2 linked regions of the Tribolium castaneum genome follow. The protein of the gene in region 2 interacts with the protein of the main gene of each other region in a biochemical or structural test. Links are inferred from orthologs where the notes say so. Each region holds a gene or a part of one and is shown on either strand. Other genes may lie near its edges. The genes, in order: sxc and nuclear pore glycoprotein p62.

Evidence for each region.
Region 1: of the proteins of nuclear pore glycoprotein p62 (region 2) and sxc, one has a biochemical effect on the other in vitro, tested with the Homo sapiens proteins (2 studies listed by BioGRID). The link is inferred for Tribolium castaneum from reciprocal best matches to the Homo sapiens genes NUP62 and OGT.

The regions. Positions count from the first base shown.
Region 1 is NC_087394.1:6,428,701-6,432,530, forward strand, and holds part of sxc (UDP-N-acetylglucosamine--peptide N-acetylglucosaminyltransferase 110 kDa subunit), read right to left. Parts: intron 2,192-3,830; coding exon 2,008-2,191; intron 1,944-2,007; coding exon 1,875-1,943; intron 1-1,874. UniProt on the Homo sapiens protein: Catalyzes the transfer of a single N-acetylglucosamine from UDP-GlcNAc to a serine or threonine residue in cytoplasmic and nuclear proteins resulting in their modification with a beta-linked N-acetylglucosamine (O-GlcNAc).
Region 2 is NC_087396.1:18,040,508-18,044,608, reverse strand, and holds nuclear pore glycoprotein p62, read left to right. Parts: upstream 1-1,263; 5' UTR 1,264-1,365; coding exon 1,366-1,435; intron 1,436-1,487; coding exon 1,488-1,676; intron 1,677-1,725; coding exon 1,726-1,839; intron 1,840-1,886; coding exon 1,887-2,013; intron 2,014-2,528; coding exon 2,529-2,879; intron 2,880-2,927; coding exon 2,928-3,039; intron 3,040-3,142; coding exon 3,143-3,298; 3' UTR 3,299-3,350; downstream 3,351-4,101. Other genes in the region: ankyrin repeat domain-containing protein 12, read right to left, coding at 3,351-3,616. UniProt on the Homo sapiens protein: Essential component of the nuclear pore complex. The N-terminal is probably involved in nucleocytoplasmic transport.

The sequences.
Region 1 (3,830 bases), on a different chromosome or scaffold from region 2:
TGAAATTGCCGGAATTATTGAGCTTCTCTGTGTTTAAACTCAATTCTGTGTTTAAAATTTCACGTAAATGTTTTTTCTTAAAAAGGTATTCAGCGGTAAAGCATTTTAAAAAATAGTCCCAATGCAACCATTTTTCAATTATATTTTTTATAATATACGTTAAACAATTACCTCCCAAGTTTTCAGGATAAAAATATGCTTAAATGCTCAAACAAGGTTAAAACTAGACCATATTTAGTGCTTTTTTCGATTTATTTTTAAGAAATTTCTCGAATTAATTACACTTCTGAGTGAAATACTTTGTAAAACGCCCAAAAATCGCCATTTTAGTCGATTTCACGTCACATATTAACAAAATCTAGCAAAAGACCCAAAATTTTAGCACAAAACAAGTTTAATCGCAAAATAAATAAAGTATTCGACTCAAAAAAAGTCAAAATTACACAATTTCCGACACAATTGAGCTTATTTTTAACAAAATTTCTCGTAATAATTAGAGCTTAACCAATTTTTTAGCTCTGTTCTTTTCTAAAAAAAAAATATACAAATTCAGGTTTCTCAGGTGATCCAGTTTCGCTAAACAATTATATTTCAGGCGAAAAGTGTGCTAAATAGTTCGCAAAATACAATAAATACACCATATTAGTTCTAGTTTAGTGATTTTTCGACTTTGACAAATTTCACGAAATAATTACGTTTCTGAGTAAAAAACGCGAGTTCTCCTAATTTTATAAAATTGTCACGAGATGAAATATTGTCCAGCTTACAAAAAAACAGCCACTTCTTGTTTAAAATTCTTGAACTAGCAATGATCTTTGTAACACTTTTTTACATACATTTTGACTTACCTTTTTGTTTCAATAAAAATATCTCTGTAAATAAAACTGTAGTATTTACAATTAAAAAAAAAGGTATTTTTGTATTTTTTCGTTAAAACCGTTGGCTATTTGAATTAACAACATGTATTTTGCTGATTATTAATAACAAAGATATTGACTGAAAAAAACTCAGAAGAGACATTCTGTACAGTTAAATTATACAGGGTATTACAACACATTTCAAATTTACATATATCTGGAGAAATATATAAACGAAAAATCTGTAGATTAAACTGTATTGGAATTTAATAATTACCTAAAAATAAAACATTCATGACTTTAAAAAATGAAACTGAACTTTAATTAAAAATAATTGCGTGGAAGTGACTAATAATAGGTTGTTGTTCAATTGAAATGATTGCAGTATCTACAGATAAGCTGCTTTACTTTTTATAATTCATATCCATTTTTTATATTTTGTTTTAGGCTGATATTTTCTGTTACAATGACTGAATAAACAAAAGAAAAAATAGGAAGAACAACTGAAAAAAATCTACGCAGGGCACCTGAAAATTCGACAGTTATTAGTTTTTAAATAAACAATTGACGATTTTTACCTTCAAAACTAATAACTGTCTCAGAATTTAGAGAAAAATAAAATGACTGCGTCAAAAGTAACAAACTGTTCAAGTGTGATAAAAACATAATTAAAAAAAATCTTCGCAAGCTTGCACTGATAACGCATTCATCTCAGGCCAGAAAAATCGCTAGTAGCCAAAACTACTCATAAAACGGTGTGTTTCAAATGGAATTACGCAAATGCTATGTGCTAATTTTTCACTCTTGGTGTAAAAATTTAACACATTAGTAAGACGCACAAGGTGAAACTCTACGCAATGCGCACTTGGGAAAATATCAGCCTGGGTTTTTTATATTATGCCTTGTAAAATTTGTATTTTACTCAATTTTTTAATTTTGGAGATTGAAATAAATTGGAGTAGATGGAAATAGTATTCTGAAATAAATAAAACACATCATGATGATAATTGAACATACCTTGGCCTCGTCTAAACGACCTAATGCTTTTAGGAGGTTACCCAAATCGCTACGAACACAGTAGAGATCCTGTGAGGAGAGAATAATATGCACAATTTAGGCAAATATCGCTTGGAATGTATTATGTACTTACTGGATTGTACTGCAATGCGGTAATGTATGCTTGAACTGCTTGCTCCATATCTCCTGCAGCAACAAGAGCTGCAGCTAAGTTGATGTATCCATCAATAAAATCTGGTTTAAGACGCACTGCATGTCGATAATTATCGAGTGCTTCTTGCAGCTGACTTCTTTCTTTGTACACGTTGCCCAAATTACTGGAATCGAAAACGTTTTCTAAGTAAAACTGTTTCCTGCTGCAATGTAATTTACTACAAAATGACAGAGACGTGAAGTTATAAAACTATGTAAACAAGTTCGGTTTAAAAATAACTACTACAAAATTATTTAACTTGGCCATTGAATACTCAAAATTACGAACTCTGAAGCAACCAATTTTTAATTCATATTGTGAATAATGAATTTACTTTCTACAACACGAAAGTGATGAAAAGTATGTCCCAAGTTTAATGTACTGTATTAAAATATTCCAAAAATTATTCACATTCCTTAATACATAGCTTACAAAATCGCAAAAAATTCTTATCCACGAAGCCACTTTAAACAATTGTTAAACTAAATATGAACAAAGCAGCAGGAAACTTTAGCAATTCCATTTTATTCGTTAACTTCAGCATCAGATAAGACTGAACAAAAAACCAACGTTCATACCGTTGGCAGCAAGAGTACATTTCTTCTTCTGTTATAACTTATAAGTTATAAACATCAACTAACTTGATATACTTACTTAGAAGTTTTGACTCGCTTTAAAACTTTGAATTATTTAATTTTTTATGATCTATTTATTACGTAAATACAGGTTGTTTCCTCAAATTTTAAAACAAAAAATTTATAAGAAACTTAGCAAGAAGTTTAACACGATATGATATTAAAATGTTTACTACTTGAAATATTATTTACTGCGACTTTTATCTATGACAAGATTAGAGAAAACTTGTACAGATTTTTGATCCGTAGCTTTCTGTATTTACTGCTTTTCTTGGTTTCTCTTTACTATTTGAAAAAACTGATTAGAAGAGCTAAGAGAACAGCCGTTTCAAACCTTTAAACAACGTCAAAATGGCATTTGTACATTTATAAAAAGGAATAGATCACAAAAAAGACTTTTTAAAAATTTTTTAAAAAATCTGTGTAATTACAAGTAACAAATTTTGAACGATGAAAACCCATCATTAATTAAAAGAAAAAGATAATCACAAAAAGTATTAGTTCATGTTACACAAAATCAGAGAAACGACAAAATGCAAAATGTGACACATGTTTGTCAGTTTTGAATTATGTATCAGACTTTAACGATTTTCGATATTAAAATTTAAAATTCAGAAAAATAGATTAGGTCTTTATTTTCATAATAAAACATTTATTTTTAAGAAAAGTTAGATGAAATCTTCAGTACTTATTTTAATTGTTTTTTCAGAATAGCGCCAGTTATTTTAAGTATTTTAAGAAACAATAAGTAACATAATGGATTTTAATGATAGAAAATTGTACAGAAATTCCAAAAAAATTCACATGAACCGAGAAAAGTATGAAGTGTTTTAATATCAAGCCCTGATTGCCTGATTTCTGTGTGATTACTAGTTTTTGAGCTACAGTATAACCATATGCATTATCCGATTTTTTTTAATTATCATTGTCAAAATCAGGTACAAAAGTAGTTCATACCGCCTGAAAATGAAAAATTGAGAAACTAAATAAAAATAAAAATTGAAACATTAGGTTTTCCTTTCTATTTTTATTAAACTAAAACGAAAAAACACCATATTTGGTCAAAATTGACCAAAAAATTACTTTTTCTACGCGTTTATTTAGCAAAAACTCAATTATTGTGCAAAA
Region 2 (4,101 bases):
GAAATGGAAACTCATATTTTAAAGCCCTATATTTATATTATAATAACTGTAATATTTTTTAAATAAAATACCACTTTCCCCAAATAATTGTTTATTCACTCCTAACACCACGACGGGACAAGCAAGAGTGCCCGTTCGTCATTCTCCTACTTGCTTCCCCCTACCTCACTCAGCCTTTTCTATATAGGTACAGTACTTAATACACTACAATAACAAATTAGTTCGGTTATAGTGAATATATGAACTTCACTTTTAACGTTCGAAATTTAGACAAAAAAGTGGTCTAGGACTCGGTTATAAGTTATAAGTTATAACGTACGCACATGCACTTACAGCACTTACATGCACTTACAGCGACATTCCAGCAGGCACATAAACAGACCAAGTAATTAGAAATCTTTAAATTTAGGATACGAAACTAAAAATTATTGAATTGTTAGATAACTATTAAACATAGATGAATGTAGATAAATATGCTTTTCTAATAAATTAAATTAATACTTTATTTCGTGTATCTGTTTCACGTTTAGAATTCAGTTGACTTGAAAACTATTCTATAAACGACGATGTTCGGATAAAACAAACGATCGGGTATAATACATAACAAACAAATTCTGAAGTCCCTTGAGTGTTCGTTATAACCGAGTTCCACTGTAACTCACCAATTTAGGGTGGAGTTTAAATGAGAGCGATTTGAGACACTGTAGATCTTCCCCTTTTCAAATTGTTTAATTTGATTCGTAAGCATCTTAATAATCTTAATATATTAATCTCTTAATAGTCTGAGAAAAACTACCAACTAAAATAGTAATGACAAAAATTTAAATTATCCTTCGTCCTATATTTTTTTGAAAGGCGGTCTATAGGGTTTAAGATATAAAAATTAAAAAGTTATAGAAGATTAAAATTTCTCACAAAAAAGTTTGCGGAATCATCTTTAATGGTTTGAATGTTTGAGTGATGGAAAATAATTTGCACTTTAAAACAATTTAAACTTATTATTAAAGATAAAAATTTGGCTTTTCGGATCTTTTTAGAGAAAATTTAATTCTCTCCACTTTTTTTGTTTTTTTTTTGTTTTTTTTATACAATTTTGACTTTACTTACGGGTAACAAAAATAAAGATAAAACCTTCTGTTATAAAAAAGTGGAATATGGAAGCTTATGACACTAGAAACGCCAACGGACACTTATGATTATAATTTGAAACTTAATTTTCCTCCTTCCTAAATTTTATGAGGCCATGGTTAAAAAATCCATCTTTCCCTCAATCGCCACTAGTGCCGCCACCATCGTTTTAAAATTTAACGTCAAGCTAACCTATAAATTTTGTGAAGCTACTTGAAGCTAACTAATTTTCTGAAAATGTCTTTCAATTTCGGTGCCCCTAAAACGGCTACAGGTTTCACATTACCTACCACTAGCACAATTGCCAGTACGTAAGACATTTTGCTAACCAAAACGCAACTAACCCTTTTATTACACAGCCACCACAGCTACGGGCGGTGCAGGCGATACCAAACAGCAAACCCCTAACAAACCACTAACAAATCTATTCGGTACTCCTACGACCAGTACCGGGTTTTTCCTGGGTACAACCCCCAAAACAACAGCGTCAGTAAGTTTCGGCTTAACAACAACAAGCGCAACCTCAACTCCCAGCTTTACAATAACTCGTTAGTAACCCTTTTTTGTTAAATTTATGTAATAATTAGTCAACTTTAGCTGCGACTTCGACGACTACGCCGCAGTTCAGTCTAGGGACAAGTGCTTCAACCACTACCACCGCTGCCACTTCGTTTACTCCTATTTTGTCCACAGGGACATCCCTATCTTCAGGTTTAAAAAAATTAGGGTTTTGTAGTCTTTACACGATTTAAATTTAGGTTTTTCGTTGGCAAGCAGCGCTGCAACTTCCGCACCTTTGAAACTAACCACAACCCTAACCCCTTCAAGCACAACAACAACATCAGCCTCTGGTTTAGGCCTAGGGGGGCTTACAGCTACTACACAGTATGTACTCTAATTATAAATACTTTTAACCCGCGCAAATGCGTGTCACAGTTTATAATAACATATATCAAGAGTACTGTGAAAGTTTAGTTAAAGTATGTCTTGACTAGTATTTTATTAAGGGTACTAATAAAAAGATTATTAATAAATTCGATTTTGATCATATAATACGAGTGCGAACACACTAGGTTAAAGTTCGAGGGCTGTCGTTATACAACGAGCATATGCGAGTTGCATACTTAGACATTATTATTTTTACTGTGCGTTTAATTCGTACCGTTTTATTATTGTATGTCGAATTTATCAAATTTTGAACCATATCTTGCGTAAAATATTGATTAAAATATTTGAAATCTTTTTTTTTAACAAACTTAAAATCAGCGTTGACAATGCTCCACCTGGTTCCTGATTTGTATTATATTGTAGTTTTGATATTTCATTAAATATAAGAGTTTATGAACATACGTCCGGGAAATTTTTACAGCACTTTTGATATGTTTCGTATAATTTTTAAGAGCGCCAGCTGTGACCACCACAACAGCAGCAAGTCTGCCAACTTCTGGTACCTTAACCTATGCTCAGCTAGAGGACTGTATCAACAAATGGACTATAGACTTGGAAGAACAAGGAAAATTCTTCATTAATCAAACAAAACAGCTGAACGCTTGGGATAACCTGTTGGTTTCAAACACTGATAAAATATTGGCCTTGAATGAAACAATTGAGCGTGTGAAACAGCAGCAGAAACAACTAGACCAAGAGCTTGATTTCGTATTAGCTCAAGATAATGAATTAGATGAGTTGAGTCTTCCTCTAGAGAAACAATTAACTGATATTCCAGTCACGGATCAGAATAGATTCCAAACGTAATTGTTTATTACAGTAAAATATTCGACATTCTGTGGGTGTTTTAGGTATCAATTGTCTGAAATAATTGACTCCCAATTGAAGCAAATGTCCGAGGATTTGAAAGAAATTGTGGAACATTTGAACGAGTCTAACAAAAATGAAGATATTACTGATCCGGTTTGTGTCAACAAATGTTGTCAAGACTGCTCTGCCTACTTCACAGCACTCTTGGCCACATTTTTGTTTCGACTCACTATCCTATCATGTGTGTATGTTGTAGGTCATTCAAGTCAGTCGCATTCTAAATGCCCACATGAATTCGCTCCAGTGGATTGATAGAAACTCGTCTCAGATTTGCTCTCATTTGGAACAGATTACACAGTTACATGAGACTTACAAGAAAAACGTTTTTATTAAAATTTCCTCTATACAATAACGCCTTGTACAAATTTCTCATATCAAACAATAAATCTAACAAGATATTGCACTTAGTCGCTTTTTGAATGTCTGTGGCTTTTTGTTTCTTCCTCTGGGGGGCTTCCTTCATTCCCCTTGACTGTAAATGTGACGTAGTATCGCTTGTTCTGATCCAGACGATCCGCAGGCAGTGATATGACTTGTTTGTCGTTTCCGTGGCACAGTTCGAGTGTCACGGCCTTTTTCGTATTAATTGTTGGCAGAAAACCTGTGCCGGGTTTGCACTGCGTTGACGTAAACCCGATTTTGGGGATAGTGTGGTGATCCATTTTGGGAACTACAAAAATATGAGTAAACTTGCAACAAAGCTTTTTGATTAAAAAAATAAAGAATTTGTAATTTCATACTTTTGCTCGTTTTGAAATTCCAAAGTTTTTGATAAATAACGTATTAATTGATTGACGCCCGATTTCTTGAACGGTTTATCGATAGATAATCTGTACCTGCGAGTTAAAGAAGTGTAAGTCCATTTTTTACGAAAATGATATAATGCGTAATTTTAAATATTTAGCAACCACTTAAACTGAAAATGTCCTCAAAATGTTAATATGAAGGACTACCTTTACTAAATCAAAGTTACAATTAACAGTATAGTATATTTCAGAAAAATTAAATTTCCTGTTTATCCTGAAAGTGTTAAAAAATGTTCTAAGCAAAAAAACTTTATACAAGAACGGACAAAATACATTTTGCTCGACAGTAACAATGGGTTTCCGCATTTTAACGGTGAGAAAATATTATCTATTACAAACAAATGTTGAA